Elephas maximus indicus: one gene and its partners. The protein of the gene in region 4 interacts with the protein of the main gene of each other region in a pairwise test. Links are inferred from orthologs where the notes say so. Each region holds a gene or a part of one and is shown on either strand. Other genes may lie near its edges.

Region 1 (7,961 bases), on a different chromosome or scaffold from region 4:
TTCGACCTTACGCACTGGCCTGGTTAACCCACTGGCCATAGGTTTCCGCCTCATCTGGATCTTCAAGATTCTCATGTTCAAAAGAGGCCTCTTCCTCTTCTTCTTCCCGTATTACCTTCATCAACTCAAGGAAGCTGGGAGGCGGTCCTTGATCCTTCAGCTCCCTAAGCCTGCACCAAAGGATTTCACTAAGGCTCGCCCCAGCCATGATTTGTTCCAAACGGACCTGATCTGCAATATTTCTAGGAATGGCACGCTTCTCAACAGCTTTCCGAAGCAAGGTTTCTAACCGTAACACATAGGCAGAGACTTTCTCGCCCTCCTCCTGATAGGTCTTCAGATACCTAACCTGTGAGGTCCTGCGGCTCTCCAGGCTTCCAAACACTTGTTTAAACGCCTCCAAACACTCTTCCACGCTTATGGACTGGTTGTCTGCCTGCACTATATGCATGAGGTCCAGAGCAGGGCCACGCAGGCTTTCCATCAACCACCTTTTCTTTTCTGCCTCTGCTACTGGCCACTCTTTGACTATCTCAGTGGCCTGTTCCAACCAGATTTCAAAGGGCTCTTCCTCTGGGGCTGGAACAGCACTGCCTGAGAATATTCTCAGTTTTCGGTATCTCATGGGTAGCAGAGGCTGAGGTGCATGCGCTATTGCCTGTCCCACCAAATTGGCCAGTAACTCTGGTGATATGGAGGGGACAGCAGCTGTGGACACTCCCTCATGCCCAAGGGCTCGGAACATACCCGCTAATGTCTGTTCCTCTTTTTCTAAGAAGAGGTTCAGTCTTTCAAGAAATTCAGTGTCCTGATTAGGGGTCTTAAAGACCACTTTCCAGACACCGCCCCTTCCCTGCACCTCACTGGGGATCACGGAGATATCAATATCCTCCATAAGCTCTAACAAGACAGCATTGGCATTATCCTGCTTCCTGAATATTTTGCCAAGCAGTCTATACCTGCCCAGGGACTTCAAATTCTCCTGAAGAACCTCCTGAATCTCAGGCTCATCACACTCCACTGGTATCCCCATAACCAACAGTGATTTCTGAGTATCCACACTCATTATCCCACACCAGTCCTCTAGCAGTGCCAGTGCCATTGCTCCAAGTATCCACTTGCCCTAACTCGTAGGGGCACCAGTTAGTTTGTGGGGCAGATATGCACTGCCTTAGATTAAAAAAAAAAATCCTGGATGACCTAGGGGGTGGATCCTAGGTCAGGTCACTCTAAGAGTGGTCTCAAAATCTCCTGGACTGTTAACCCTTACTTGCCCAGCGGCAACAACTCAGCACTTCCTGTAATGTCTCTAGAACTGATCCAGGACGGGTAGGTTGTGTCTCACCTATAACAGAGCCACTACCTGTGGCTCTGCAGTCCTCTTGGTGCTGTTTCTCTCAGCGATGCTGGCAGCCACGTGGTGGTCCTGACCTTTCTTCAATCACCGAGGCACCTGGAACAGCTGCTTTGACCACTGTCTCCTGGTCTCTGATACTTTCTCTAGTCAGCGGTGAAATACTTTCCACTCTGGCACCCTGAACTCTTGAAGAGAAGTCTCACAGTAGCGTGACTTGGACTCCTAGTGAAACAATTTTCAGTTTTACCACTGAAGCATACCAGGAAGCATACATATTCTAGTTTGGGAAGGAAGTGGGGGTAGACCAGGGGTTTTGTCTTACATTGTACCTGTGTCTAGCCCACTCTGTCAAGAATTCTTCTTTGATTATAGTGACTTTTTTATTTTCTCTTGGGGACCCTCTGAAATACAGCTTCCCCAGCATATGCTCATCAGACATGTCAATCAATGTCTAAACCCCACTTTTGGACAAGATCCAAGATTTTTCCCACATAAGGGATGAAATCAAAAGATGTGGCTAAATACCTGTTTATATGTTCCAGAATGTTCCTTGAGAGTGAACAGCTTATTCAGCTTCTAGTATAGGATGATGTCACCCAACTCCACACGATGGTGTCTCTGAGTCTTAGCTCCAGCCAAGTCAAGATGTCCTGCTACACATAAAAATCATGTGGTTTTATAGCTCAATAATATGCAGTCATAAAGACTGTTTCTACACTTATTAAAAATATGACAATCTTTCACGATTTAGCTAGCTCTACTAAACAGCTATTGAACTGCTTCCTTTCTTTGATTAAAAAATACCCAGTTAGGAATCGGTCAAACATTTAAAAATAATTTAATATATAGATAGCATTTAGAAAAAGAAAATCTTAGGGCCAAATACACTAAACTTGGAATCATGGACTAATTCTTTTTTGCTACGTCTGGTTAGTCTTTGGCATTTCTTTTGTTATGAATGGTTACTATCACAACACTTTTTTCTCCTAGCATTTGAATTTAAATGGGTCATTCAAGGCAAAAAGAAGCCTATCTACTGAGCTTGTCCTGGAAAGCCTGTGGAGACTGGGAATAGAAAGTCGGAAGAGTGATGCCTCCCAGTCAGCGTTGCTGGAGTACACGTTAGGGTGCTACAATCATTCTCCCCTTGGCATGAAAATCTCCATCAATCTGAGGAAGGTCCATATGCTATGATACCAACCTGTAGCTAGAACAGCAGCTGCTCCTGTTGCAGGTACATCTCCTGAGTCCTTCTAGGAGGTGCTGAAGGCACCATAAGTGCCAAAAGGCCAGGAAAACAAAATGCTATTTTACTCCTATCCCCAGGAGCCCCAAGGACGTGAGCTCCTACCTGCAATGTGACTTTCAAATAAAAAAAGCAAGTGAAACACCCTTGGTATCCAATAGGGCCATGGATGGAAGTACTTAGATATGGAAAAAAAAAAAAGTGAAAACCTTATATTTTCTCACATCAACAGAACCAATAGGATAAACTGGAAAAGGAACAGATTTTCAGATGGAAGACCCCCAGTGGAACTGTTGCATCAGTTAACTAGATAGGTCACCCTGGCCAAGGTCCCTCAATCCTTTTAAATCACAGTTTCCTAACCTGGAAAATAGTGACAATAAACCTGTCCCATTTATCTAACAGGGCTGCCGTGAGTAGGTAATAACGTAATTCACGTGAAAGCATTTAGTTCAAAAGAAGTCTATCTGATGCTAAATCCGGAATACCTGCCTATGGGGGTCTCTCGCCTGCTCCATATGTGTATTCTTCTTCTTCATTCTCCCCTCCTCATTTTGAGGTTCATTCCCACCTATGATGGGCTCATCTTCACACTGTGACTAGTCGTCCTCCAAATTTAACCCCATTCACCAAACCATCACTGACAATAGGGGTGGGGGATCCACATTTAATCCTTCCAGGGACAAGGGTTGACAACGGTACTGAATCCTTGGCCCGTAATGCCTGGCGTGGTGACGCTGCGGGAAATCGCCTCTTAGCCCAAACCCGCCCTGGTCACAGAGCAAGGCCAGATCTCCCTTCTGAGCCTCGGATGGGTGGGCATCATTTTCGCAAAATTTTGCCACTGTAGGAAAAGAGGGGGGCTGCACTCGATCAGAAGCAGAGATTGATATACGGTAAGAAGAGGACAAGAAGAGTAAGCATCGACGGCGTTACTGACACAAATCAAAATGACACCTGAATGCCTACCGACCCGGTGGTCACGGCTGAAACACCCCCATAGAAACACCACACCTCCACACAGTTGCCCCTCTTGTCCCCAAACGCAATTCTCTGCATTCTATCACAGTGCGCACCCTGCCTCCTAGTCCCCAGCGGATGCGCACACACTAACACCACAAGCACGTGGCGTCTGGCCCTGCTCTGGCGCAGTGCGCAACAGGGGCGGGGGAGACTAGGCGGGGTGCTCGGGCGTGAGGAAGGCCTGGAGATTTAGGGAGTGGGCTTTATTCTACGTATTTTCCCCTTTGGAGAGGGGCGGTGGAAGATATCAAATCAAGACACTCTCCTTGGCCCTTCTTGGCGCAGGGGCGCAGAAATATTACATGGGGCCCTCAGGCAATGTAGCGGGTCTACACCCTCTCTGTCTTTACAAGTGGCTGCACTGGAATCCGCAGACTGCACTCCTTGCTAAAACTCCCATAAACCACAGGCTTAAGTCTCTCTTTATACCTCCTCATTTGCTACGCCCCTCTGCATTTCTTCTGAACACGTTGTGCACCCCCCACCCCTGGGGATACACCAAGCAAGAATGTTCTCGCTTCATCCTTGCTCCACGCAGCCCACCAAGGCCCGTGGGTGACTGGGGCTTTGGTTTTCCGCGCCTCGGATGGCACCCTATTCTCCGCACCGCCTGCCATTCCCCATTCCCACTGACGCCCCCCAGTTGTCCTGACTTCTGCCAGATTGTCTCCTTTTCCCCATCCATCAGCAAATACCCCGGGAAAGGGGAGGGATCCCAACCCGCGGAGCCCCCAGCCCGCGGTTCCATCTCCGCAATGCGGTGAGAGGGAGAGGCGCCTGGGCCAGGCAGGTGGGGGAGAGGAGGGCAGGGGACCAGGGGCTGCGTTTTCGGGTCGTCGCCTACGCATACCCAGCCCCTCTACTTACCCTAGCGCCGGAGAGCGGTCATCAGGCCCCGCACTCGGCAACCGTTAGCCGGTGGTCTGGCCGCTTCACTTCCGGAGCGTGGGGCTCGAGATGGCGTGGCCCGCCCCTCCCCTCCCCTCCCCTCCTCGGCGCCCCGCCCCGCGCCCCCCCTCCTAGCGCAGCTGCAGGGAACAGGCTGCCTCTCGGCTCCCGCAGCCGCAGCGGCCGCCCTCCCCGGCCTAACTTCGCCGCTCGCCGGAGCTTGCGCGGAGGCTGGGGGCGTGGGCAGGGAGGGGGAGAAAGCAGGGCCAGGGGGAGGGGCTGGGAGGGGTAGACAGCCCGCTCCAAAGCCCTCCTTCCTTTCTGTACACCTTGCCTTAGGCAGAAAGAGACATCCGTGGCAGCAGCGGGGGATTTTTGCACAGATAGTGGGAGACTTAGGGACTGGCAGACAGACAGACAGACGGAGGAAGAGGACCCTTCCCCAAGCCATCGCGCCATGGCTGAGAGGAAGCAATCCGGGAAGCAGGCAGAGGACGAAGAGGTCCCTGCCTTTTTTAAAAAGCTGGGCTCAGGCAGCCCCAAGCCCCGACAGAAATTCTGTGGCATGTTCTGCCCGGTGGAAGGGTCCTCGGAGAACAAAACCATCGATTTCGACTCGCTGTCGGTGGGCCGGGGCTCGGGGCAGGTTGTGGCTCAGCAGCGGGACGTCGCCCACTTGGGCCCCGACCCGCAGCCGCCGTACTCCCGGCAGGGCCGGCGTGCCGGCGGGGAGCCATCTGTTGAATCGAGCCGGAAGGTGGAGATCCGTCGGGCCTCGGGCAAGGAAGCCCTGCAGAACATCAACGACCAGGTTGGTATGGGAGGGCGGAGGAGATGAAGGACGGGGCGTGTGGGAGTTGCCTCTCCCTCCCGGCTCCGTGGAGACCCGAGAATCCAAGGGTACCCTCTTTCCTGCTCCTTCTTTAATGTTGCCTCTCTGCATATGCACACATACCCCACCCAACCTGCCCCTTCTCCGCCCAGGGTGCGGAGAGGCTCGTCGGTGGGCGGCTGTACGCCCACAAAGGCTGCCCGCACCTCTCTGGATCTGGGAGGTGGGGGATGGGGGGGGGTAAAGGACTGGCTGATTCCCGGCCCGGGGTTGCGCGGAGGGGAGTGGGCCGCGGTTTCATTCTTCTTAAATCCTCCCGGGCGGCTTCCGATTGCAGCTGTGGCTGGGTGCCCCACCCTTTTTTGATGCAGCTCGGAGCGTGCGGAGGAGGGGTTCGCGTGAAGGCCCGTGAGTTCCCTCGGGTTCGGGAGGGGTCGGGGCTCCGACCACCGCTCCCTGCCCGCTCTGCGCCCTCTCTGGCTGCACCTTCTTGGGCGCCTGTCGCTCTCGGGTACCGAGATCGGAGGCCAGCACCATGGTCAGCGCCTCTTCGGCTCGCCTAGGAGAATCTCACCACCCTTAACTCCTGGTCGCAGCGTGAGAAGAGTGAGGGAGAATGTGGAGTCACCCGAGGAAACCGAGACGCTTCTCAATAGCCCATGTGGAGAACAAAGTTCCGCTAAGTGCCTCAACAAGGGCTTCCCAGAGCTCTCCCTCTGCCGCTATTTGGGAGGTGCTCTGGGAATGGGAACTAAGTGGATTATGTTCAAAGGGTAAAAAAAGGAGGAAGAAAGAAACCCTCACATTTTGAATAGCATGTCAAAGAAGATTAGCCCTTTTGTACTGTAAATGAGTCAAACGAAGTCCAATTTGGTAAACCTTGATTTTAGAAAATGTTGGCCATTATCTGACAAATATGAACAGTGCACATTTTAAGTACAGTAGCTTTTTCACACCCCAGCTTTTTCTTTAACTGGGTGACCTTCATACTCGCACATTTTTTCCTCACAGCCTCAATTTCTCAGCAGATACTCTACAGTGCAAAATGTTTCATCCCTTGTTTGCTGTTTCTCCTGCACCCGTTAGGTTTAGCTTTCTGTGAAGATGAGACGTTAATTAATGATTATTGAATACCTATTGTGTGCCTTGATTTTGGGGCAGGAAGGTTAGCAATAAAAACTTAAAGGCAGTTTCTTTTCCTCACGGGGCTTCCAGAGTGGTTGGGAGTGGCCTGTTCCTGTTCATTGTGGGGTTCAACAAGCATTTACAGTGTAAGCATTTTAGAGAACAACATAGAGTAGGTGGTAATGGCCCTAGAATGGTGCTCCTGTTTCCTGATGTGGCATTGAGTTTTGCAGCTTTTGACTTTTATAGGAACAAGTCTAACGAAGTTAAAGCATTTGCGATCATTTTCATAATTTATACACTCCCCCCAGCTCTGTTCTCTGATGTTTTCATATAGGAAAGTATCTCATACACATATTTTATCATGAGTCAACCAGAAGAACCCAAATCCAGAAAATTCTCTTTGTTGCAAGTGACAAGACAATTGAAGCAAAAGTTTCTAATTGTGTAACCTAGACTAAAAGCTGAAAGTGAAATACTTTCCTAGATGAATGCATTGGGTGAGAGCCAAGCTTATATAGCGTTATCGTTATGTGAGTAACCTCATGTACAGCAAGTTGTCCTGGCAATTCTAATATCCTAGAGGGAGCAGAAGTATATTATGGAGAATAAGGAAGAGATCATTTATAAAATGGCTTTTGGGGGGTGTTAAGAGTGGCTACCCCATCATAAAAAAAACAGCAAATTAAAACTCAAGTCTGAAAGGCAAAGTTGCAATGAGTTAAATAACACATCTCTTTCTCCTGTCCATTTAGAAGCTTAGATGTTTGATCACAAGAGCTACTTGTTTGAATACTGGCTGAATTTAATAGAAATTCTAAATTGTATACCTATGGTACATGGAGGGAGAGATTTGAAGTGATAACATCCAACCAAAACCAGGGCATTTTTAGCCTCAGCAAACCTCAAATCAAATCCCGCTCCAGTTGCCTGAATATTTGTAGTAGGGAGATTCTGTCTTGGCCTACCTGTAGCCCTCCCAGAGTTTTCATCTTCAGTCTAGACTTATAGCATAAAGACTGCTCCTGTGGGATTATTTTCATTCAGATCAGGAGCATTTACCTGGATTGGTGCTTACAGTGTTCAATATTTCGTGTCTGTACAAGAGGAAAAAGGCATTTGGTGTGCATGTATGTACATGGATATAACTGGTGATTTCAAGGAGCCCTGGTGGCACAATGGTTAAGCATTCAGCTGTTAACTGAAAGGTCGGCAGTTGGAACCCACTAGCTGCTCCATGGGAGAAAAGACCTGGCAATCTGCTCCTGTAAAGGTTTCAGCTTAGCAAACCCTATGGGGCAGTTCTACTCTGTCCTATAGGGTTACTAGGGGTTGGAACCGATTTGACAGCACACAATAATATAGTGATTTCTGAAAGCACAGCTGGGTCCACCATTTTGACCAAATTGACTAGTCATCACTTAGTTTTCAACTAATGAGTAGGGTGACTCCCAGCATTTTAGTGCATTTCTGTAGGAAGGCCTGGCACA
Region 2 (7,163 bases), on a different chromosome or scaffold from region 4:
AGCAGTTTGAATCTGCCAGGCGCTCCTTGGAAACTCTACGGGGCGGTTCTGCTCTGTCCTATAGGGTCGCTATGAGTCGGAATCTACTCGATGGCACTAGGTTCGGTATTGGCTTTCTAGCTATATATTTTGTGTTATCATATTTAAGTGGTTGTTCTAGGCATTACAATATGCATAGTAACTTACCACAGTCTCACTTGTATTAGTTATTATACCACTTCCCCCACGATGGAAGTCTTTAGAACACTTTACTGCCACACCCACTTCTTGGCCTTTGTGCTACCTTTGTTTGTTACAAACCCAACAATGTGGGGTTATTATTTTTGCCTTAAATAGTCATTTGGATTTTAGAGAAATGTATTATCTGCATTATCTCTGGTATCATTTCTTTTCAGCCTCAATAACTTTAGCATTTCTTGTAGTACAAGTTTGTTGGCATTTTTTTGTTTGTTTCAACATTTTAAGGATGCCATTCTATGCAGTCATTTTTGTTGTTGTTGTTCTGTATACAGTATCTCTTTTTTTATCTCCCTGCTTTTTAAGGTCTTCTGGACACTGGGAACAATAGAGACATACTCGCAACTGTCAAGACAGACTTTGAGGAGACAAGTGCGCAGTGCGGAGTCTGCCGTGGAACCTACTGCTGGGATCTCAGTTCCCACGTACTGACTAGAACGGACAATCCTGACGTAAATTGAGAAAAGCAAGATATGGACTATATACAACGCATTTTTAATAAAACATAAATATATTTGTATACAAGTATATAAATTTATGTGCCTATTTTCATAAATGAAAGACTAAAATCAAAATATAAACTGAATTATTAATAGAAGTTATTTGGGGGATAAGATTACACTTTTGTTTGACTTTGTTACAATAAGTATATATATTACTTTTGTATTAATAAAAAGATAAACACAGAAGGTGATACATGCATTGACGGCATGTAAGAACGAGGCTGTACACAGACGAGCATGGTGGACTCCACTCGTGTGTGTATGTGTGTGTGGGGGGGGGGGGAGTGGTCACAGAAAGCCTGTAAGAGGAGATGAGATATGAAGGGCAGAGAGTTAAGACTCAGGTTACAACCTAGCCTTGAGCTGAATTTGTTCTAAAGAAGTGTTTTGTATAAAGGATCCCTGGGTGGTGCCAAGGGTTAAGCGCTTGACTGCTGGTCACAAGGTTAGGGGTTTGAACCCACCCAGAGGCACCACAGAAGACAGGCCCAGGCCAGGTGATTTGCTTCTGAAAGGTCATAGCCTTGAAAACCCTATGGAGCAGTTCTACTCTGCACACATGGGGTCACCATGAGTCGGAATTGACTTGATGGCAACTAACAACAATGATAAATATATGTATAAATATAAAACTGTCAACCTGTGATGTATAATTGTGAATGCTGGGGTGAGAATGCCTATTGGGCATCTGAAGTCTGAAAGAAGCCTATGGGACTTTATAGTCTGTTGAGAGATTGTTGCTGTGTGCCGTTGAGCCAATCCTACTCATAGTGACCCTATATGACACAGTAGAACTGCCTTGTCGGGTTTCCTAGGCTGAAACCTAGAAGCAGATCACCAAGTCTTTTCTCTTGCAGAGTGGCTGGTGGGTTTCACCCACTGACCTTTTTTTTTTTTTTTTTTTTACTAGTCAAGGGCTTAAGCATTGCACCTTGTTAAAACATTAGGCTCCTAAAAAAGGAAACACTCTCTTGGTAATTACATGGGTGTTGATTGTACGGGAGGACTTAATCCAGACGTCAGGGCAGTGTCCCCATCAGGCCCCTGCAGTGCAATAGGCTTCTCTTTATATATGGCCTTTCTGGTCCTGGGTTTGTAGTTCTGCCAAGATTATTCGCTAGGCCACAATCTTGCAAAGAGATTGGACAATGTACTATGCAAATAAGATGTATAAAACCCTTGTGGAGATTGGTCAATTGCTAAGCAAATTAGCTGACTATGGACTACAGAGGGGATTTGTCAGTTTGTGGTCTTGGTAGGGGCAGTAGGCTTATAAAAGGGCTAATCCCACAGGGACTGAGAGGAACCTCACTATCATAAAGATAGAGAGCTTGACACTGGAGATGGCCGTCTTGCACTGGCAAGAGATGGCGTGGCAGCAGCAGGAGCCACTGCAGTGAGATGGCTGGAAACTGGAGACCAGTGTGAGATGGCTGTGGTGGGGTGCCTCAGGGCACTTGTCGGCTGAGCTAAAGAACTGTAACACTTGCAAAAGCAGGCAGAGGCTGAGAGGAGGCCAGGCCAGCAAGGAACCACGAGCTGTCTTGGAAACAGTCCTGGTCCCCTCCTACATTGTTCCTGTTACTTCCAAGTTAATCCTGTTCTTGAATGGCAGCCTGTTACTTCTCTAATACACCACATAATGGTGAGTATGATCTGTGAGTTCTGTGCGGCCACTGCAACAAATTATGGAACCCAGGAGAGAAGCAGAGAGGGTGGGGGGAGGGTAGTGGCAGCTGGTGTCAGAACTGGTGAAAAGACTGGAGGGTGGAGATATGTCTGACCTCCAACACACAGGAATCAAAGGAATCAGCCTGGGGCCGATGGTGATTCCTTATCCTCCCTGAAGTTAGAGGACCTATGATGCTAGCTTACAGCCCTGCTCCAGCTGTGACATGCTTAGTGATTAGGCTCTGCAGTCTTAAACAACAGTTTGTGTATATGAATGTTGGTAAATAAAATCTGTTAAAATGAGAAGACAGTCTACGCTGTCAGGTTCTGATACCTGAGGCAATGTGAAGCAGTTTCAGATGATGCCAAAGGTGTAGCACGCACAAGCAGGTCGCTGAGGTGGATTTGAGAGTTCACCTATGAACAAAAGCTCAAGGTGTTGGATGAATTAAGCACACAAACATTAGAAAGTCTTAAAATGATAGCAGGTGTTAAGAGTAAATTTGAACTCTTTGGGAACCCGTGTCTTCCACGAGGCTATGCGTTTCTTTTATGGGCAGGAATATTGTTTTACTAAGTGTACCATCTCCAGGGTACTGGCATTTAGAAACAAAGGTTGTTGTGTGAATACATGAAAATACACAATTTCAGTGAATGAAAAACTAAAGGCAGGTGACAGGAAGATCCGTGTCTTACTTTATTGGCGTGCAACATCTGGGCCTTGGGAGCCTATCTCAAGGCACTTTCCCTAAAGTCTCCAGGGAAGGGAAGAACCCCTTCCTCCCCCGCCACCGAGCAGTCAGAATATTGGGCACTAAATATATAGAATCCTAATACAAATGAGGAGCCCTGGTGGCACAGCGGTTTAGCGCTTGGCTGCTAAGCCAAAGCTCAGTGGTTTTAAGCAAAGATGTCACTTTGAGGACTAAGGTGCGCCTGACCCAAGCCATGGCCTGTGAAAGCTGGACAAGGAATAAGGAACACCTAAGAATGATGCCTTTGAATTACGGTGTTGGCGAAGAATGTTGACTATTCCACAGATCGCCAAAACAACGAGCAGATCTGTCCTAGAAGTACAGCCAGAATGCGCCTTAGAAGCGAGGATGGCGAGACTTGGTCTCATGTACTCTGGCCATGTTATCAGGAGGGACCAGCTCCTGGAGAAGGGCATCATGCTTGGAAGAGGGCCAGCAAAAAAGAGGGAGACCCTCAACGAGATGGACTGACGCGGGCTGCAAGAATGGGCTCAAAGTGACCACCACTGTGAGGATGGCGCAGGACCAGGCATGGAGCGACGGCGCTTCACAGGGATCAGAAGTACTGAACAAAACTACATTATCCTTTAGGGGCCACCTCAGGCCCCCGCAGTTCCACCCTTCTCCCAGCCTGGACGCCGTTCTCCGCTGGGGGGCCTGGCACCCTCTCCGCCTGACTTCGCAGCGTCGAGGCGCAGCTAAGCGACGGGCCAGGGATCCCAGCAGGAGCCCAGCTAGTCCCCGGAGAAACCTCCAGCCAGCGCCGCCCCCCAGCGCGCATGTGCGGGCGCCTTGTCCCCTGCGGCCCCCCGTAGGGCCCCGTCAGCGCGCATGTGCGGCCGCCGTAGGGTCCCGTCAGCGCGCATGTGCGGGAGCCTTGTCCCCTGCGGCCCCCCGTAGGGCCCCGTCAGCGCGCATGTGCAGCCCCCCCCTCCCAGGGTCCCGTCAGCGCGCATGTGCGGGAGCCTTGTCCTCTACGGCCCCCCGTAGGGCCCCGTCGCGAGCTCCACGTCGGCCGCGCAGGCGCCCTGGGCGCACCGTTCACCTGCTGCCGTTGTCGCCGCCGCCGCCGGGGCTGGATGGGGGGCCGAGGCCGGCCGGTGGCACCCGGGAGGAAGAGACGCGGCGGCGGCGACGCCGACACCTGTGGGACGAGCGTCCCGCCCTGCCTGCGAGCCCAGGGAGGAGGCGGCGAGGCCCGGCCCCCGCAGCCCCTGGTGTAGAGAGGTGACTCCCCGGCGCGCACCCTCAGGTCTCGTTCACGCTCGGGACCCCGCGCTGCGCCATGTTCAAGAAACTGAAGCAGAAGATCAGCGAGGAGCAGCAGCAGCTGCAGCAGGCGCTGGCTCCGCCTCAGGTACGATGGCCGCCGCTCTCCTTCCCTGGTGCCCGACGCCCCTTGACCTGGCTCGGGGGTGAGAGGGAGGGCAGCTCCGTCCTGATCCCTGACCCTGATCCTAGGACCTCCCCAAACCCCGGGCCGGGAGGGCGCGCACGGAGACCCGGGTCCCCTCACCCCTGAGCCCGGCGCCGCCCTCGCGGCACTCGGTCCGGGAACGAGGGGGCCGGGCCTGGGACCGGGGCTGGGGCGGGCGGGCCCGAGCTGACAGCTGAGCTCCGTCGGGGTTCCCTGATGCCCTAGGCCAGGTCCCGGCTCCCTGGACGACCCCTACCCACCCGAGGTCCCAGCTGGTGGGTGAGCGCGGAGGGGAGTCCCTTCTAATGGTTGCTCTCCGAGCCGGCGCCCCTCTGCCATCCCCGCCCCGAAGTGACCCACCGCGCGGGCGCCCTCGCCCCCGCCCCCAAGCCCGGCCGCCCTCGCCCCCAAGCCCGGCCCCGCAGGGAGGACCGGGGTCGCGCCCTCGGTCCCAGGCCCCCGGCAGGAGCGGGGACGTGGGGAGGCGGCGGTGGCGGGCGTCCAGCGGCCGAGCCGGGCACCAGGCGTCGCTGCGCGGAGCTGGGTCGAGCCCGGCGCGCCCTGAGCGCGGTGCTCCGCCTTCCGCCTCCAGCTTCCCCGCCGGCCTGCGGCCCTGCGCGCTTTGCTGCCGTCTGCGGGTGCTCCAGGCCCGAGGCTGCAGGAAGCGACCGTTTACGGGGCAGGGGGCAGCTTGGCGGCTTCGGGAAGCAGCCCCCGAAGTTGTCAGCCTACGCGTTCTGACGCGTCAGCACGTGATCTCGGAGGGTGCTGTCGGCCGGGGCGCCGTCGGCGGGGCTCCTGCCGAAGTTCCTCGAAGGCCTCCTTCACCGATTGCGCAAACCTTTCTTTCAGTTTTAGGGTTTCTGGTCGCTAGGAGTCGGAATCGACTCCACAGTAGCGAGTTTGGTGTTTGGTTTTGGTCTTTGTCTAGGAGTCCTGGTGGCGCATTGGCCCAAGCGCTCGGCTGCTAACTAAAAGGTCGGTGGTTCCAATCCACCAGCGGAGAAAGACGTGACAGTCTGCTTCCGCGAAGATGACAGCCTTGGAAACCCTAGGGGGCAGTTCTGCTTTGTCCTGTAGGGTCGCTGTGGGTCGGACTGGACTTCACAGCTGTGGGCTTGGTTTTTGGTCTTTGCCTGCTGTTACAATAAAGCATGAGTTTTGACTTAATCGGTGGCATTTTTAATAATTTTTTGACATAACATTTATTTTGTGTTGAAGCAGCTGTTGCGCTGAGTTTATTCTGAGACGAGTTGGAAAATTGTTCTCTTAAAATTTAGTTTGTGTGGACTAGAACAGTGCTTGCGAAAGACATTGCAACGTGGCACCGAAGGTCTGCTCATTCTTCCAAGTAAAGTGCAAATAGAGATCAAAACTTAAATAGTAAAGATTTTCATTTTATGTGATTTACTGTAGACTTTTTAACTTTACAGGACGCTTAAGAAAAATGAGGCAGAGATGGAGAGGGAAATGGACAGGTTAGTGAATGTAAGGCAGTTAACATTTGTAAACGTGCACGATATCACTGATCCACGATGTCACTTCTAGAAATTTATTCAAAGAAAGTAATTTAGGATGTATTAAAACACAGCTATGTAGGTTTTCATTTCAATGTTAGGTAGAAGCTTGCTAAAAATGTCCAGCAGTTCTCGAACAAACCTATCGGGTAGATAATCCCGTCCTTCCTCTTTTATCCATGGGAAAACAAGGCCCAGAGAATTGAAGTAGCTTGCCCAATGCCATTCACCCATTGTTAGAAATCACAGGAAACTTGGTAACACAGAAAGATGTTTGTGTTAGTAGCCGCACGTAAAAAGCCACATGTAACACGTGATCACAGCTTTGTGGGAAAACGTGTCTATATGTGAGTTTACATACATCCTTAGTGAAAGTATTCAGGAAGGAGATGCCCTTACGGTGCTCGTGAGCCATGAGTGTTCTGTTCCTGACCTGTAATGTTAGTTTTTTTTCATGAAAATGAATTGCTTTTTTGCAGTGGGAAGAAAGGTGCTTAGTAGTAATAACAGTAAAGGTAGTCACAGGCCAAGGTAGAACTCCCTGTTTCTTCAGTTTAGTACTGTTGCATTGGCTTATCTTTAGTGAGAGGGTCATCGGTATCAAATAAAACACTTTGTGTCCAAAGGTTAAAAATCCTCTTTGATATGTTCACATTCTTGAATATATGTGTATTTACCAAGAAGTAAAAAATAAGTTGTCAATCACCTACTGGTAGAAACTTGGTTCTGTTCTGGTCCTAGGTCCTCAGCTATTCCCAGCCCCTCAGGAAAGAAAAGTTCCGGATAATTGTTTTCAGAGAGTTAAGGATTTCTTTCAAGCACTAACTAAAAAACAAAAACAATACGAAACAACAACAACAAAAAATGCTTTTTTTTGCAACAGATTACATACATCCTTTCCTAAGCAAAGGATCTCGAATGTGTATGATATTCTCTTCTTCTGACTCGGGCATCATTTTTGAGGATAAGTTATTCTTTGTTGGAGGCACCATGCCCTCTGGATTTAATAGGGTTTGAGAGGCAGTCCCGTTTTACCCACTCCAGAGGATTGGTCTGATCCTGT
Region 3 (7,278 bases), on a different chromosome or scaffold from region 4:
GTGCCATAAATTGGATGAAGAAATCATTTAAAGTTATTTTTATTCATCTTTAATTTTGTTGTGTTTTTACTGAAAGTTTACAGTGCAAATTAGTTTTTCATTCAAAATTTATTCGCAAATTGTTTTGTGACATTGGTTGCAATCCCTGCAATGTGTCAGCTCTCTCCCCCTTTCCCTTTCTACTCTGGGTCCTCCGTGTGTCCATTCTTCCAGTTTTCCTGTCCCTTCCCGCCTGCTCGTCTTTGCTTTTGGACAGGTGTTGCCCATTTGGTCTTGTATACTTGGTTGAACTAAGAAGCATGTTCCTCATGTGTGTTATTATTTTATAAGCTTATCTAATCTTTCCTGAAAGGTGGACTTTGGGAGTGGATTCAGTTCTGAGTTAGCAGGGTGTCTGGGGAACACAGTCTCCAGGATTCCTCCAGTCTCCATCAGGCCAGTAAATCTGGTCTTTTTTTGTGAATTTGAATTTCGTTCTACATCTTTCTTCTGTTCTGTCTGGGATGCCCTATTGTGATCCCTGTCAAGTGGTTGGTGGTGGTAGCCAGGCACCAGCTGGTTCTACTGGGCTCAGGCAGGCGGCAGCTGTGGTTTATGTTGTTCATTAGTCCTTTGACTAATATTTTCCTTATCTTTGACTTTCTTCATTCTCCTTTGCTCCAAACGTGATGGGGCCAATAGACTGTAGCTTAGATAGCTGCTTGCAAGCTTTTAAGACCCTAGACACCACTCACCAAAGTAAGATGTAGAACATTTCCTTCATGAACAATGTTATGCTAATTGACCTAGATGTCCCCCAATACCGTGGTCCCCAGCCCTCCGCTCCAGTAACTTGGTCCCTCAAGGTGTTGAGATGTGTCTAGGAAGCTTCTATGACTTTGCTTTGGTCAAGTTGTGTTGCCTTCCCCTACGTCGTGTGTTATCTTTCCCTTTACCAAAGTTAATTTGTCTAAAAAAAAAAAAATTTTTTTTTTTTTTAGTTAGTGGTGTTTCCCTCCCCACCCCTCTGCTCCATTGTAACCATCAAACATTGTTTTTTTCCTGTGTGTAAACTTTTTCTTGGGTTTTTATAATAGTGGTCTCATACGATATTTGTCCTTTTGTGATTGGCTTCTTTCACTCAGCATAATGCCATTCTGATAAAGTGATTTATATTGATATGGCTAAAAACAACTCACAAGTTTTATGTCCCCAATTAATTTAATATTTCTACACTGCCTGCTTCCAAAGAATCAGTTTGGCTCTTGTATCTAGAGTGAAGTATGTGTGACATCATGCCATTTTGCGCATCATGTTTTGATGTATTTTATGACAACATACATTTTCCCGTAAACTTTGAGACTGTATTCTCAGTCCCTTGAATTCTGAATTAAAGGAAGACAATGTGAAGTTTCTACATAATCATATACTGTACTTATAAAAATAGAGCAAGGCATTAATATTTTGAACAATAGCAAAAGAATGTAAAAGCTAGTTTATTTGAAAAGTTGCGGAAAGAAAATGCAGGGAAGATTTAGCTGAGTCATTTGGAGTTAAGAATAAAAGAGTGAAGGCAATGATGATTTAATCCTATTTTTATTTCCCCCCAAATCAAGAAAAATAGAAGTGAAAAGCTAGTTATATTCTGAACAAATTAAGTGAAATAATGCATCAAAATCAAGAGGTATGTTACTTTGTAGGGGAAACTTCAGGGAGGAGGATTTAGGACAAATACTTAAGGCCTTGATGAAATCTATTCGATAGTATAACTCTACACCCCCATTTTGAACTCAGTCATTCTTAGTTCTTAGAATTAGTGTTTACAGTTATCTCAGGCAATTAGACAAAATAAATTCTTACTGTGACATAAACAAGAGGACTGCAGCACATGTACAACTTAATTCTGACCTATGGTCTTCCTCAAAATTCTCTTTCCCTGGAATCTTTTTTCCATCTTCTTTGGGACTGGTCTTTTCATGAAATATGCCTTTTATTTTTACTTCATCCTGGTCTTTTGGCATTTGTTTTGATTGATATTCCATTCATCATGCAAACAGTCTCACTTTGAACTTGCTTTCAATATGATGTATAGTGTGGTTGCTTGTCACGCAAGCCCAGTCTCGATGTGCAGTTTGATCTTTTAGCCAAATTTGGTCACTTCCTGCATTTTCACAGTTGCTGCGTAGGTACTGGTCAGAAACACTCATCGTGACTCTCAGGCACCTTTGTTGTTAAAAATGTTTTGATGAGACATACTTAGTTAACATTCAGTGGACCTTCCATTCACTGATACTGTTCATCTTGTGACACTGATACAAGCCTTTTTATTAGTTTTAAAAGCTCTTATTCTGGAATCACCTTAACTTGGTATTAAAATCATGCATCATGACCTCAGACAAATTACTTACCCTCTTTAGGCCTTATTCATTAAATTATTCAACATTTATTGAACTAGGTGTAATAGGCTCCGGGGATAGGAAATGAATGTGACAGCCAAGGTTTTTTTAATCTGTAAAATGTCCCTAATGATAGAGCTGTTTTGAGCATGAAATGTATGTAAAGTACTTAGCACACTGATCAATAAATATTAATTGTTATGATTAGTAGCATTATTTTGATAAAATTACTTTTAACATCTTTCTATGACCGTAACCCCTTACGACTCAGAATGTATCCACATTACATTTTTAATATAAAGTTATTCCATAAATTACAGATGCTGGAAATGGTCTTTTCTAGAAATATTGATGCACTGTTCTTAGACTCAGTTGGACTGTAAGCACTCCACAATACAATATCTTTCACACCTGGGTAGCCAAGAAAAAATTGTAAATCAAAACCACGATCTGGATTATGAAAAGAAGGTGCTATACTTGTATCCTCTTGAGTACAGACTTGTTTAGATAGAATTCCAAATTTCTTCCCCAAATTTCCCATCTAGTTTTTAGTTTGGATTATTACAACACTAAACAAGCCCAAAAACAGGGCATTTTAAATTTTACTTGTTTAGTATCACTACCATGAAAACATTAAAATATTTTAACTACTGCTGTTTCAGCTCGTGTGTGTGTGTGTGTGTGTGTGTGTGTGTGTGGACACATCATCTGGAGGAAAGTGGCAGTTCTGCATCTCAAAAAATTCAACTAGAGAAAATGGGTTACTGCAGGCACTGCAAAAACCTATTGACACTATGGAAATGGCTATAGAAATAAAAAGTTTCTCTTTTCCTCAACGAAGCTATTTAAGAGTGATACAAAGAAAATATCTCTAGGGGTGGGAGCGTTTGTATCTGTATACTCTCTAACCCAGTACCCATTATTTGTAGTTTAAAGTGAAGCCTCATCAGGCAAACTGTATTTTACTACGGTCACAAAGTATCCTGGGTAAGCTTTCTGAAGAAAAGGAGTTTTGAAGAACCATATTGTTGACAATTTGTCACTCATTTTAAATCCCACTGTTGCCCTTAGTTCTTACAAAAGAATGTCTGCCAACAAATAGCATCCTCTTTTTTTTTTTTTTTTTTTTTTTTTAAAGCAGGACTGGGAGCTCCCGATGTTGGAGGAGTTGGCGGAGAACCAAGAACAGAGCCCTTTAAAAAGGCACGTGGGGCAGAGCCTGTCTCAGGGACAACCGCCACCACCTCAACGTGCGGGTTACAGAATCAACGCCCGGCTTCCCGGGCCCTGTTCATCGCCGAGGGAGCCCCGACAGCAGGACCTGCTGCCTCGTCATCGCTGCATTTCTGGCTGGCAGGTCCCCGTGACCGTCCGCGGCATTCCACGCCTCGGTCTCGGCCGGCGTGCGCGGGACTCGGAACCACCTCGCGAGCCCACTCAGCAGCGGCGAGGGCGAGAGCGAGGAAACCCCGGGGACCGAAGTCACCCCCGGGCTCGGCGTGTCCCCTCCCCTCGCCGGCGGGGCCTCCGGTACCTCCTCAGCCGCCTCAGCACAGCCAGCATTGTACTGGTGGACGGTCCGTCCCGCCGCCGTCGCCGCGTCCCCTCGGAGGCCCCCAGAGCCACGTTCCCGCCGCCGGCACCTGATAGACGGACGGACGGACGGACCCGGAGCTCCGGCCCGGTGCCGCCGCCGCCGCCGCCGCCGCCGCCGCGCACGCGCTCCTTGCACGCCTTCGTGCCCCCGGCGGCCCTCGGGGCGGGAACGCGGGACTGCCAGCCGCCCGCACCTGACTGACTGACAGACCCCGGGCTCGGGCCGCGCGCCGCGCGCTCGTGCAGTCCCCACGCGCACGCGCACGCGCTTCGCGCGCCTGCCGCCAGCCCCGGGGGCGGGACCGCGTGGCTGCGAGCGGGCGGGGGGCTCGTGGCGCGCGCGCCCTGCACCCGAGGGCTGCAGAGAGATATTTTGGGTGGCAGGAGGCCCCTCGTCATTTCCGCCGGGCAGCGTGTCGTGCCAGGGGCTTCACTCCCGCGCGCGAGGCGAGCGGGCAAGTTGGCTGCGGGCGGGCGGCGGCGGCGGCGGCGGCTCCTTCCCTCAGCGCCGCGACCCTCGGCAGCGCAAGCCATGAACTGAACTCCTGGAGAGACGGAGACCCGAGCGCAGCCGCGGAGGCAGCAGCAGCCTTAGCCGCCTCCTCGGGCACCGAGCCGCCCCGGCGCGGAGCTGCGAACCCGGCACGCTTCCCTCCTCGCCGCGGTTCGTACCGCGGCTCCCCGACATATACTGAGAGGCGTTACAGCCGCGCGCCCAGACACACAAAAGCCACCTTCTCCGCGCCGCCCGTCCGCCCGGCGAGGCAGCGGCCAACAAGGGACCCCACCTGAGGGCGGCTCGGCTGCTGAGTTCGTTTTCTGTCCGAGCCCCGCGCCCCTCAAGGAACCGATCCCGCCCCCATGGCTCTGATCATGGAACCGGTGAGCAAATGGTCTCCGAGTCAAGTGGTGGACTGGATGAAAGGTAATACCCGCTGCGGGGACGGGAGGAGGCCCTGGGCGCAGGGTCCCGCCGCACCGAGCCTCGCCATCGGGGCTGCCGCCGGCCGATTGCGGCCCCTGCGAGGCGGCGCGGGTGCCCCGGGGCGGCGGGGCCTCTGGTCCCCTGATCCCCTTTTGTCTCCAGCCAGTTGTTCCCCAGCTGGAGGGGCTCGGAGGGGCGGGGAGAATGCGCGAGGGCGCCCGGCGCGACCCAGTTGGAGGCAAGAAGCCGGACGGCGAAATCCCGCACGTCTTCCCCGCTCTCCCCTGCGCTCCCGGGCCGGGAGGATGTGGCGACCCTGGTCTCCCTCTTCAGAGAGGAGCCCCCGGGACTTGCTTTCCGAAGCCCCGCTTCCCCGACCCCTTTGTTCCCGGGAAACCTGACGCCCCTTCCGCGGCCGCCCCTCCCAGGTGCCTGCTCCAGCGCCAACTCTCCCCGCAACTTTTAAGCTCGAATAATGGGGTCAGGAGGCTGCCGCCCCCGACAGGACCCGGGAATCGCCCTCTCTCTCCCTGGCCTCTCTGCGAAGGCTAGGGAAAGGCGCTGCTTTGGGGAGAGGTAACATGCCTCCCCTGGGACGGCGTCCGCGCTGATGGCTGGGCTCCTCCTGCGCATTCCCCCGTCCTTGCCACCTCGACTTCGGGGCGAAGAGACTTCGGACCCCACGACTCTTTATTAGGCTCTCGACTCTGGGTGCAAGGGGATGCGCATCCCCGTACCCCTTCATTTCTTCCATCTTATTCACTTATCCCCTGGCAATTTCTAATAACCATAGTTAGAGACGCCCTCCTTGTCGCAAACGTGAGCTTTTTCTCTAGTCCTTGGGCTTTTCTGCCTCACTATCTCCCTCTGTTGTCTGAGTTAAGGGGCTTGTAGAGGAACTCCCGCCCCCCCGCCACACGCGACCACTGCCCCCTCCCTTCTCCTTTCATTCCCAGGCCCAACTCTCTCCTAAGGTTTTTGGGAATATCCAGAGGGGATGGATAGGATGGACTAAAGGTTCCCTGGCCACACTTGGGAGATGTTAGAGCTCTGCTGGTGGTGGGTCTTGGGCACCAACTCTAGGTAGGTTAGTCAGGGAAGGAAGGCTTGGTATTTATGAAAATGCCCCTTGGGAAGATGAGGGATGCCCTTCTTAGGGCTGGCTGAGCGATCAGACTTTCTAAACCCCCAGGTACTTTAGAATGAAAAGTGATGATTGGAAGGAATTGTAAGTGAAACGGAGAAACTATTTTTTTCTGCCTTTTCCCCCAATTTTTTCAGCCTTCTTGCTTATTCTTTTGGATTTTCCATTATCTATTTTGCTTTTCTTCTATTCCCATACTTGCCCCTCCTCGTTCACTTTGTTTTTCTTTCCTAAATATGTGGAAAGTGCTTCGTAACTGCAAACCCGTTGCACAGTACAAATGTGAGTGAATTAAATTGAAGCAAATTCATTATTTATTGACTGCCCCCCTGCGTGTGGTGCATTGTGCTAAGGTGCCATGGGGGTTATAAAGATGACTAAGACAAAGTCCTGCAGTGGCTCATCTTTTCTGTTTCCTCTTTTTCCACATTTGCTATTGAAATACTGCTTTCCTAGATTCCCACCAATTCTCCCCCAGGCCCCCCCCCCAATTCTCTGATACAGGCAAACATCTGTCTTGCTTATCAGTCATGGAAGAAAGAGCCAAGGCATATGCAGGAAGTGAGATGTTTAATTAAAACCTGTCTTAGTTGTCTAGTGCTGCTATAACAGAAATAACACAAGTGGATGGCTTTGACAAAGAGAAATTTATCCTCTCACAGTTTAGGACGCCAGAAGTCAGAATTCAGGGTGTTGACTCTAGGGGAAGGCTTTCTCTCTTTGTTGTCTCTGGAGGAAGGTTCTTGTCTCTTTGAGCTTCTCCTCCTGGGTGTATCTTCATGTGGCTTGGCATCTCTCTTCTCTACTTCTTTCGCTGGCTTGTTTAATCTCTTTTACATATCAAAAGAGAGTGATTTAAAACACACCCTACACTAATCATTAACATAACAAAGACAACCCATTCCCAAATGGGATTATGACCACTGGCGTAGACTTTAGGATTTACGACACGTATTTTGGAGGGACACAGTTCAAACAATAACAAAACCCTTTCTTTGAATTTATCTAAAAGCTTAGTTGGAGTCTGTTGCTGAAATACTCAAAGAAAAGCTGTCTTGGCCTCACGGAAGTCAGATTACCTTCAGAGACTAACTACGTCTTACCAATTTCCATGATGCTCACTGGCAGTGAGTGCTGCATACTCCATCTTCTCCTCCTCCTACCCTCCCAATTACATTCTGCACTTTCCCCTCTCTCAACAGTTTAGGTCTACTGCAGCTAGTGTAACATACGATGCA
Region 4 (7,848 bases):
TCATCTCCAGGACTTAGAAACTGCACCTTGCACAAAGTGATCCATATATTTTTTTGAATGAATAAGATAATGAACTAATGCAGTTCTTAGTTACCGTGATGAATGCGCCTTTTTCCTTATATTCATTGCCTCTGAGCTTGAATCTGCCCCAACTGTCACCGTAGTCCAACCCCACACAGTTTAGGTTTGTGGCTCCACAGGCAATCCAACTCTGCCTGCTTTATATAATCTGTATAATCTAAGAAGTTCTCTGAAATACTGGACCACTGATGCTGCTTGTCTTCTAGAACTTTTTTTTTGGTCACCTTTTAAAAAATTGTGTTTTAAATGAAGGTTTACAGAGCAAATTAGTTTCTCATTAAACAATTAATACACACATTGTTTTGTGATATTGCTTGCCAACCCTACGATGTGCCAACACTCTCCCCTTCTCTACCTTGGGTTCCCATTATCAGCTTTCCTGTACCCACCTGCCTTCTCGTCCTTGCCCCTGGATTGGTATGCCTTTTTAGTCTCGCTTTGCTTTATGGGCCTGTCTTTGGCTGAAGGGTGAATACCAGGAGTGATTTCAGTACTGAGTTAAAAGGGTGTCCAGGGGCCATACTCTTGGAGTTTCTCCAGTCTCTATCAGACCGTTAAGTCTGGTCTTTTTCTGAGTTAGAATTTTGTTCTGCATTTTTCTCCAGCTCTCTCTGGGACCCTCTATTGTGATCCCTCTCAGAGTAGTTGGCGGTGGTAGCCGGGCACCATCTAGTTGTGGTGGACTCAGTCTGGTGGAGGCCCTGGTGGTTGTGGTCCATTAGTCCTTTGGACTAGTCTTTCCCTTGTGTCTTGGTTTTTTTCCTTATTCTCCCTTGCTCCAGACGGATGTCTTCTAGAACCTTGATGAATTTTAAAGATTTTTTTCTTCTTTAAAGAATATCTAGGGATTTGTGGTGATAGAAGATACAGGGGGTTTGCTTTTGGAAACTCCACAGTAGTGTTTCTGATTTCCAAAATGTGGTACATAGATTCAATATTGAATAACATTTACCCTAATAAGGAGAACATAATCCCCTTTGAGCTCCTCTTTCTTGTTTATAATTTTAAAAATATAAAAATATTTCAAATAAACAGAACAATACAGAGAACACTATAATGAATACCCATTACTAATAATCCAGATTTAACAATTCCAAACATTTTGCCATGTTTGCTTGGTCTTTCTTTTTTTATAAATAAACTAAATGTCATTGTTGAAGTCTTCTCTTTCTTCCATTCCTTTCTCCCTTCTCACTATCTTTTAGTTGACCTGTATCCTTCCTGTCTGTGTCCATGCTTTTTATAGTTTACTACATATTTATATAGACATAAACATATTGGTCTTCAGACTTTAAAACCATACATAATGGTATCAACTATCTCAGTCTTTAAGATTAAACTAAGGAGGAAAATCTCACTTTGGTTCAAGTCTTGAATGCCTTTTCTGGCATTTGCTAATCTCTCTCTTAACAAAGTAAAGGCAGACCCTCAGGCTAAAAGCCTGGGGCAGGCAATGACTAAAAAAAAAACCAGCTAGCTAGAATTTAATAATAATACTGCTTTATTTTCCATTATTTTTATTTTAATGGTATTCTTTTTTGTTTTTTGCAAGCTTTCCATTTACAGTAGCAATTTACGCTTCCTTTTAGATTAAATGTAAGAAAAAAGAAATGTATCAATTAAAAAAAAATGTTAATAACAACAGTAAGGCAGCACACAGACCTGGCAAAAAATTATGAAAGTAGCACTGGAATGGTTGAAATTTGTTACACACTTGACCTACAGGGTAAAGTTCGAGCTCTTCCAGGGAGCATACAAAGCAGTACCTGATCTGACCGCTGCTGGCCTCTCCAGCCTTAAGTCACCATTCTTCCTTCACCTCCAGCAGTACAAACAGCTCGGAATTTCCCCCTCCTCTTCATCATCGATGGCACTAGTTTTTTTTTTTTTTTTTTCTTCATCAGTGACGCAATGGTTAAGTGCTTGGCTGCTAACTGAAAGGTGGGCAGTTCAAAACCACTAGTCGCTCTGCAGGAAGAAGATGTGGCAGTCTGCTTCCGTAAAGATTACAGCCTTGTGAACCCTATGGGGCAGTTCAGGTCTGTCCTATAGGGTCGCTATGAATTGGAATCAACTCGACAGCAACTGGTTTCAATGTCCTGTAAGTCAAGAAACCATAACTTACGGAGTTTATCTTTAGGAACCCTGGTGGCACAGTGGTTAAGCGCTCAGCTGTGAACCAAAAAGTCGAAAGGTGGAACCCACAAGCTGCTTGGCAGAAGAAAGATGTGGCAGTTTGCTTCCTTAACGATTTCAGCCTTGGAAATCTTATGCAGCAGTTCTACTCTGTCCTATATGGAGAGTTCTACCCTGTCCAAATGGACTTGACTGCAATGGGTGTGTGTGTGTTTTTATCTTCTCTTACCAGCTGGAGGTGTCTTTGCTATCGTAATCCTCCCTTTCATGGTATTTCCTGTAGCCCAGCACCACTGCTTCCACTTGGCTCTCGCGCCCATCCCCTCAGGCTTCCAGGAAGCAATCCTCTTCTGTAACTACTCATCACTAAATTTCCAAATCTAACTACAAATCCAAGGGTAGAATTTAGTGCCAGGGACAGGGCACCCTACAGCCTGAACAGCTTACTAAAGCCAAAAGATCTGTTTGTGATGTCTCAAATAAAATCTGGACTATAAAATCAAGACTCTCCATGAAAACAAATGTTTAACCCATTTTTTTTTGTTGTTTGGAGCTTTAAAAATTGTTATTTATAGATCTGACCTTTAATTATTTTCTTTCAACACTAATACATTAACCTGTCATCTAGAAGAAGGTTAAAAAAAAAATAGAAGGGAAAAATAAGAACAATGATGGGAAATGATAGTTCTTTAGCTCATTTCAACATTACTTGGTGGCTTACTGCCAGCTACTACAAAAAGCTGGATGATTTCATTATAAAATGAGAGGTAAAAATCAAGTGTTTGAATATAATGCGTTTAAACATTTGATATACGTGTAACGTTTACAGGCAAAAACTCCCAAGCAGTTGTGGCCATAGAGATGTTGGAGAAATTTTCAAGTTCCATGGTGCATGATTTATAACTCATATGAATACAGTAATACCAACAAAAACCGTACGGTGCACACCGAATGCGGTTTAAAAGCCCTCTGTCTGCAGTTGTGATGTACTAACTGCACTGGCTTCCATCCATTCATTGGAAAGCCTTATTCTGAAGCTGATATTCACACTACATATAAAAAACAAAAACAAGAAAACAAAACAAACCCTCAGAGTCCTTGGCCAGAAGTAAATTATTCTCCTAGCAGAGGTCCTGAGAATACTTTCAAAGCTACTGCTGTATTTGAAAAAAAGTTCAGTTTTAGCGTTTTCTTCGGATACGTCTAATTTTGTATGGCCAAGGCCGGAGAGGAAGGATTGCAATGGGGACCTGGGGAAGTGACTTCACACTCTTGATTACAGAATGTCATGTTTACTACTGTAAATATTGAGCCTCTAAAGGAGAAAGCGGGTGAAGTGAAATCGCTCCCACGCTTCCATCTTGTATGGCACATTTTATCCGCTAGCCAACTTTCTCCATCAATCCCGGTAGGTCAGCCGCAGAAACGCTGCCTGAAACGGCAATGTGAAATCCTGAGGCAGCGTGTGCTGCCTAAACCAGAGTTGGCTTTGGACAGTTACCTGAAGCATTCAAGATGTTGCACCCAGAGAAAAAGCTCGTTTCAATTCGGTCGTTTCCGTGGGGAATTGCGGCAGGGGCCGGTCCTGGGTGTGGCGATGCCAAAAGGGAGCTCCGATCTTCCAGTTTTCCCGCTTCTGGCAAACCTTTGCAACCCGAAGCGGCCAGTGACCCGCACCCGGGAACGGCCATCTGCGGTCCCAGTGGCCGCAGGCAGACCCGACCCCACGGCCCCTGTGAACTGCCGAAGCCAGGCGCTGGGCAAGCTAGGCGTGCGCGCTTCTCCCCCACTCGCTCGGCGGCTGGGGGCGGATCCCCTTCCAAGCACACAAGTCCTTATATGCACCGGTTGCACCAGTCCGCGTTACTCCAGCCCCACAAATAACTAATGGGGGAGGGAGGACGTCGCTCTTTTTTTCTCTGGCTTTTTCAATGTCAGATCATTTGAGTCCCTCCAAGAAACCCCACGATGCGATTGAACGGGCCATTTGCTGCAGCGCACGCATTGGACACACACAAATAAAGCCTCCTTGTTTGTACGATAGGCATGTCCGCGTCCCGGAACGGCACTCGGGTCCAGCCGGTTTGGCCCGCAATAGCCGGGGCGGAAAGGGTGCGCGCCCCTCCCCCATGCACGCTGGTGCAGAGGGACCCGGTCAGGAAGCGCGGCCTCTCCTCCGCCGGAGACCACGCCTCCTCCACCTCTTTTTTTTTCTCTCTCCCCCTTTACTCCTCCCAGGAAGCGGTGATAGACAGTTCTGTGTGGCTCTCCACCCCCACTCCCCCAGCTGAGTGGAGGAGTTGATGTGTCTCATTATAACAGCCAATGCAGCCGCCATCCACGCACAAGCAAAGAAGCATGTCCCATTTAAATACACCCACGCAGCCCCAGCGCCCTTAGCCGATCAGGGCGCGCAGCCCACACGCACCGCGGCTGGGGATTGGAGATCCGCGCAGGTCGAGCTCCCGGACCCGGCGGACGGCCGCGCCGAGGGTCGGGATTCGGCGCTGTGGGGCCGGGGTGGGCGGAGGAGGCTGGGCCCGGGCCTCTGGCGCTGCACCCGCATGAAGACGCGAGTGAGATAGACCAAGGTGGAATCTCCAGGGCAGAAGCTTCGGAGGGGTTTTGGTCCATTTCCCGGCGAACAAGTAGACATGGCGAGCGACTCTCCGGCTCGCAGCCTGGATGAAATCGATCTCTCGGCTCTGAGGGTGAGCAGAACACCTTTTCTGATTTCTTCCCGGTGGGTTAGGTCAGGGTGAACGGGCTCGGCGCGTGGACCGGGGCTCGCGCTGTGGGCAGAGGCGAGAGAATGCGACGGGAGGGAACGTGGATTCTCGTTTCTCTTCGGGGTTTGCTCAGGTGCTCTTGCTGAGCCCCCAGGGCAGGGTCTGTGCGGTACGTGTCCCCCTCTGGCTGTGACCGAGGCTCCCCCGAGAGCGCGTGGAGCTTACGCCAGTTTATCGTAGACGGGTGTAAGAGCCTTAAAATGAAAGACTCGTCGGTGTGTGTGTGGACACCCCGGGCGGTCGCCTCGTGCCAAGGCGCGACACCCGGCTGCCCCTTTCTGCAAAAAAAAAAAAAAGCAGCGTGAATAAAGGCACTGGCCTCACGTTTTCCAGTTACCTGCAAGATGACATTGTGAGCCTGACTGTACCCACGAAGCCGAACCTGCCGCTCCACGGGGGCAGTTACTGCTGTGCTTGCCTTGTGGATGGCAACGGCCCTCAGCCTCCCCTTTCCTGCCTCCCGCGCCCCGGCCCTCTCTGGGCGCACCCTTAAACGCCCGTCTGCCACTCACCTTTATTTGTGGTTTTAACTCAGCCCAGCCTGTGGTTTCTGACTTTGGGGCTGTGACATTTCAGCTTTATGGCTAAACTTAAGCAGGTGAAAGGGATGTGTTTTCCGCTTTTTTCCAGTCACACCGGAACTCCCGGAGTGTGTGTGTGTTTTCCTTCTGTCTGTGGCCAGTTCTTTGTAGAGCACCTCCCTCCCCCCAGCCCCACTGGTTTGAATTTACCTTCACGTGAGTTGCCTCCGACGCAGTTTCATTGTATTGACTAAGACATCACTGGTATAGAATCCATTTTACTGTTGTTTTGTGAGCAGAATATCAGGAATCCCAGTGCAGCCTCGACGCCTCTCTACCCCCAACCCCCAATCCTGACACACTCAAGGGAAGGGGGCAGAGCTTTCTTGCCATTTTAATTAGATGCTGCCTGCAGGGAAGAGGGTGAGGGATGGGGGTGGCGGCAGCAGCGGGGTCTGGGGGAAAAGATTGGGCACCAATTTAAGGACGACTTCTTCTCTTGAACCCTTCCCCCTTGAAAAATAACAGTGACTAGATATATTTGATACATGGTGGATGGGTGAGGCTAAATTGATGGTGGCTCTCAACACCGAGACACGCAAGATTGAAGTTCACACGCCCTACTGAGGAACACATTGTTAGATCGAAGCTAAATCTTGGGACCATTTACCTGAGTCTTTTTAGTACTTCTGACATTGCCTCTTTTCTCCAGGGTATTTTAAGAGCGACTACTGTTATCAAAGCTGTACTTTTTCCTTAGCCTCCCTCCTTTTTCCCTCCTTTTTGTTCCAACTCGGCTCCCCCCTCCCCCCCTCCACTTTAGTTCAAGAGATGAGGTTTCAGGAAGGCAGTCCGGGGGTTGTGAAGGAACAGGGGGGCCGTTTGAAACTGCCTGTACTGATAGTTGGGTAGCAAAAGCTCATTCGTGCGTTATTACAGTAAGTGATTTCCCTGGGGCTGAAATGCCATGTTCAGAACCCGCTGCCTCCGGGCAGCTGGGGGTGGGGGTAGTTAGTAATAGGGTGGGTGCTTTGACCAAGTCCTTGTCCTCCTGTTTGATGGACTGTGTGTGTTCTTTTGTCCTACTTGCTGTACTAGGAGTAGCTGCCGGTGGGTTAAGCAGGTAGATGTATGGGCCAGACCTCAAGGTGGGGGAAATTGTAAAAGGAGAGGGGTTCAGACAATGGGCAAGGCTTGTGGTGATTTCCCTAAGCCAGAATCGAGACATCTACATCACTCCTCTAATGAAATACTGTGTTGTGATTTTTAAGTTAGGCTTTGACCTGTCACCAGTGGGCTTTTTCTGGGGAAGGTTTTCTGAGATAGAGAGCAGAGAGCCTGCAGGCTTGTGAGAACCACGAGGGCTCGCTGGGCTGGCCTGGAGACACTTCACATTAGGATACCAGGGCTTGTGAGATCTGTATTTCGAAAAGATACCGTTCTACGGCTCACTGCAATTGCTCTTTGTGGCCTGGGCTGCCGGCTTAGTGGTCTGCCTGTTTTTCTGCCTGCCCCGAGGTGTGGGCAGGGAGGGCAACAGCTGGCCCTAGAGACTGGAGCACTGCTGGCTGGAGGACTTGCATGTAGGTGTGGAAACAGTTGCATTCTGGAGGGCTGGGGTCAGGGACTGTTTTGTGGTAGGTGGGGTGTGCCAGCCGAGAGTGGGTTCAAAGGCCACATAGGTAATCTCCACAAATCAGAGAGCAGATCATATCTGCCTTCCCAAATTAGGAGAGGTGGGCTCATCTAGTTGAGAAGTCTCATTCGTTCCCAAACCCTCAGAAGAGCTTTGGTGCTGAGAACCTCCTGAGGAATGCCTGACCCCTGAAATGCAGCCAAGGTCAGTGGCTTCTAGGAGAATTAGCTGCAGTCTTTGGGTCCCATGCTGTTTCAGTGACTCTTCAATGTACACAGTCAAGGCCCTTTTTATAAGCCCTGGGCTCAGTGCATTAAAACCAGATCCTGTCTGGAGAGGCCTTTAGTCCCTTCTCATTTTGGGGGCTTATTGTTCTCAGCCAGTGATCCTAGACTGGACCCAGTCTAAATTTTCCCCAAATAGTAACAATGCATAATTTACACCAGAGCAACCGATGACAGCACTGATCATTTAAATTATGCAAGATTTGGATGGTTTTTAAAAGTGAGATGAAAGCAGAATCTTCTTTGGTTAGAAAATAGAAAATTCAAATCCGGTTTATTTAGTTCCGATTTCTAGAGCTCACAAAGGTAAGCCTTAAGTCTGGGAGGGTGGGGGGATGGTTTCATAGATTTAGAGCTAGAAGGGAATTGTGGAGAGTTCAGCCACTGTTTTCATTTAGCAC

The links.
Region 1: the proteins of TNIK (region 4) and DPYSL2 interact in a two-hybrid assay, tested with the Homo sapiens proteins (2 studies listed by BioGRID and IntAct). The link is inferred for Elephas maximus indicus from reciprocal best matches to the Homo sapiens genes TNIK and DPYSL2.
Region 2: the proteins of TNIK (region 4) and GOLGA4 interact in a two-hybrid assay, tested with the Homo sapiens proteins (2 studies listed by BioGRID and IntAct). The link is inferred for Elephas maximus indicus from reciprocal best matches to the Homo sapiens genes TNIK and GOLGA4.
Region 3: the proteins of TNIK (region 4) and CNKSR2 interact in a two-hybrid assay, tested with the Homo sapiens proteins (2 studies listed by BioGRID and IntAct). The link is inferred for Elephas maximus indicus from reciprocal best matches to the Homo sapiens genes TNIK and CNKSR2.

The regions. Positions count from the first base shown.
Region 1 is NC_064840.1:47,009,361-47,017,321, reverse strand, and holds the start of DPYSL2 (dihydropyrimidinase-related protein 2), read left to right. Parts: upstream 1-4,956; 5' UTR 4,957-4,971; coding exon 4,972-5,325; intron 5,326-7,961. Other genes in the region: PNMA2 (paraneoplastic antigen Ma2), read right to left, coding at 8-1,102.
Region 2 is NC_064845.1:2,971,603-2,978,765, reverse strand, and holds the start of GOLGA4 (golgin subfamily A member 4), read left to right. Parts: upstream 1-4,149; 5' UTR 4,150-4,451; coding exon 4,452-4,523; intron 4,524-7,163. UniProt on the Homo sapiens protein: Involved in vesicular trafficking at the Golgi apparatus level. May play a role in delivery of transport vesicles containing GPI-linked proteins from the trans-Golgi network through its interaction with MACF1. Involved in endosome-to-Golgi trafficking.
Region 3 is NC_064846.1:158,100,347-158,107,624, reverse strand, and holds the start of CNKSR2 (connector enhancer of kinase suppressor of ras 2), read left to right. Parts: upstream 1-4,266; 5' UTR 4,267-4,832; coding exon 4,833-4,896; intron 4,897-7,278.
Region 4 is NC_064841.1:29,025,824-29,033,671, forward strand, and holds the start of TNIK (TRAF2 and NCK-interacting protein kinase), read left to right. Parts: upstream 1-4,845; 5' UTR 4,846-4,871; coding exon 4,872-4,928; intron 4,929-7,848. UniProt on the Homo sapiens protein: Serine/threonine kinase that acts as an essential activator of the Wnt signaling pathway. Recruited to promoters of Wnt target genes and required to activate their expression. May act by phosphorylating TCF4/TCF7L2.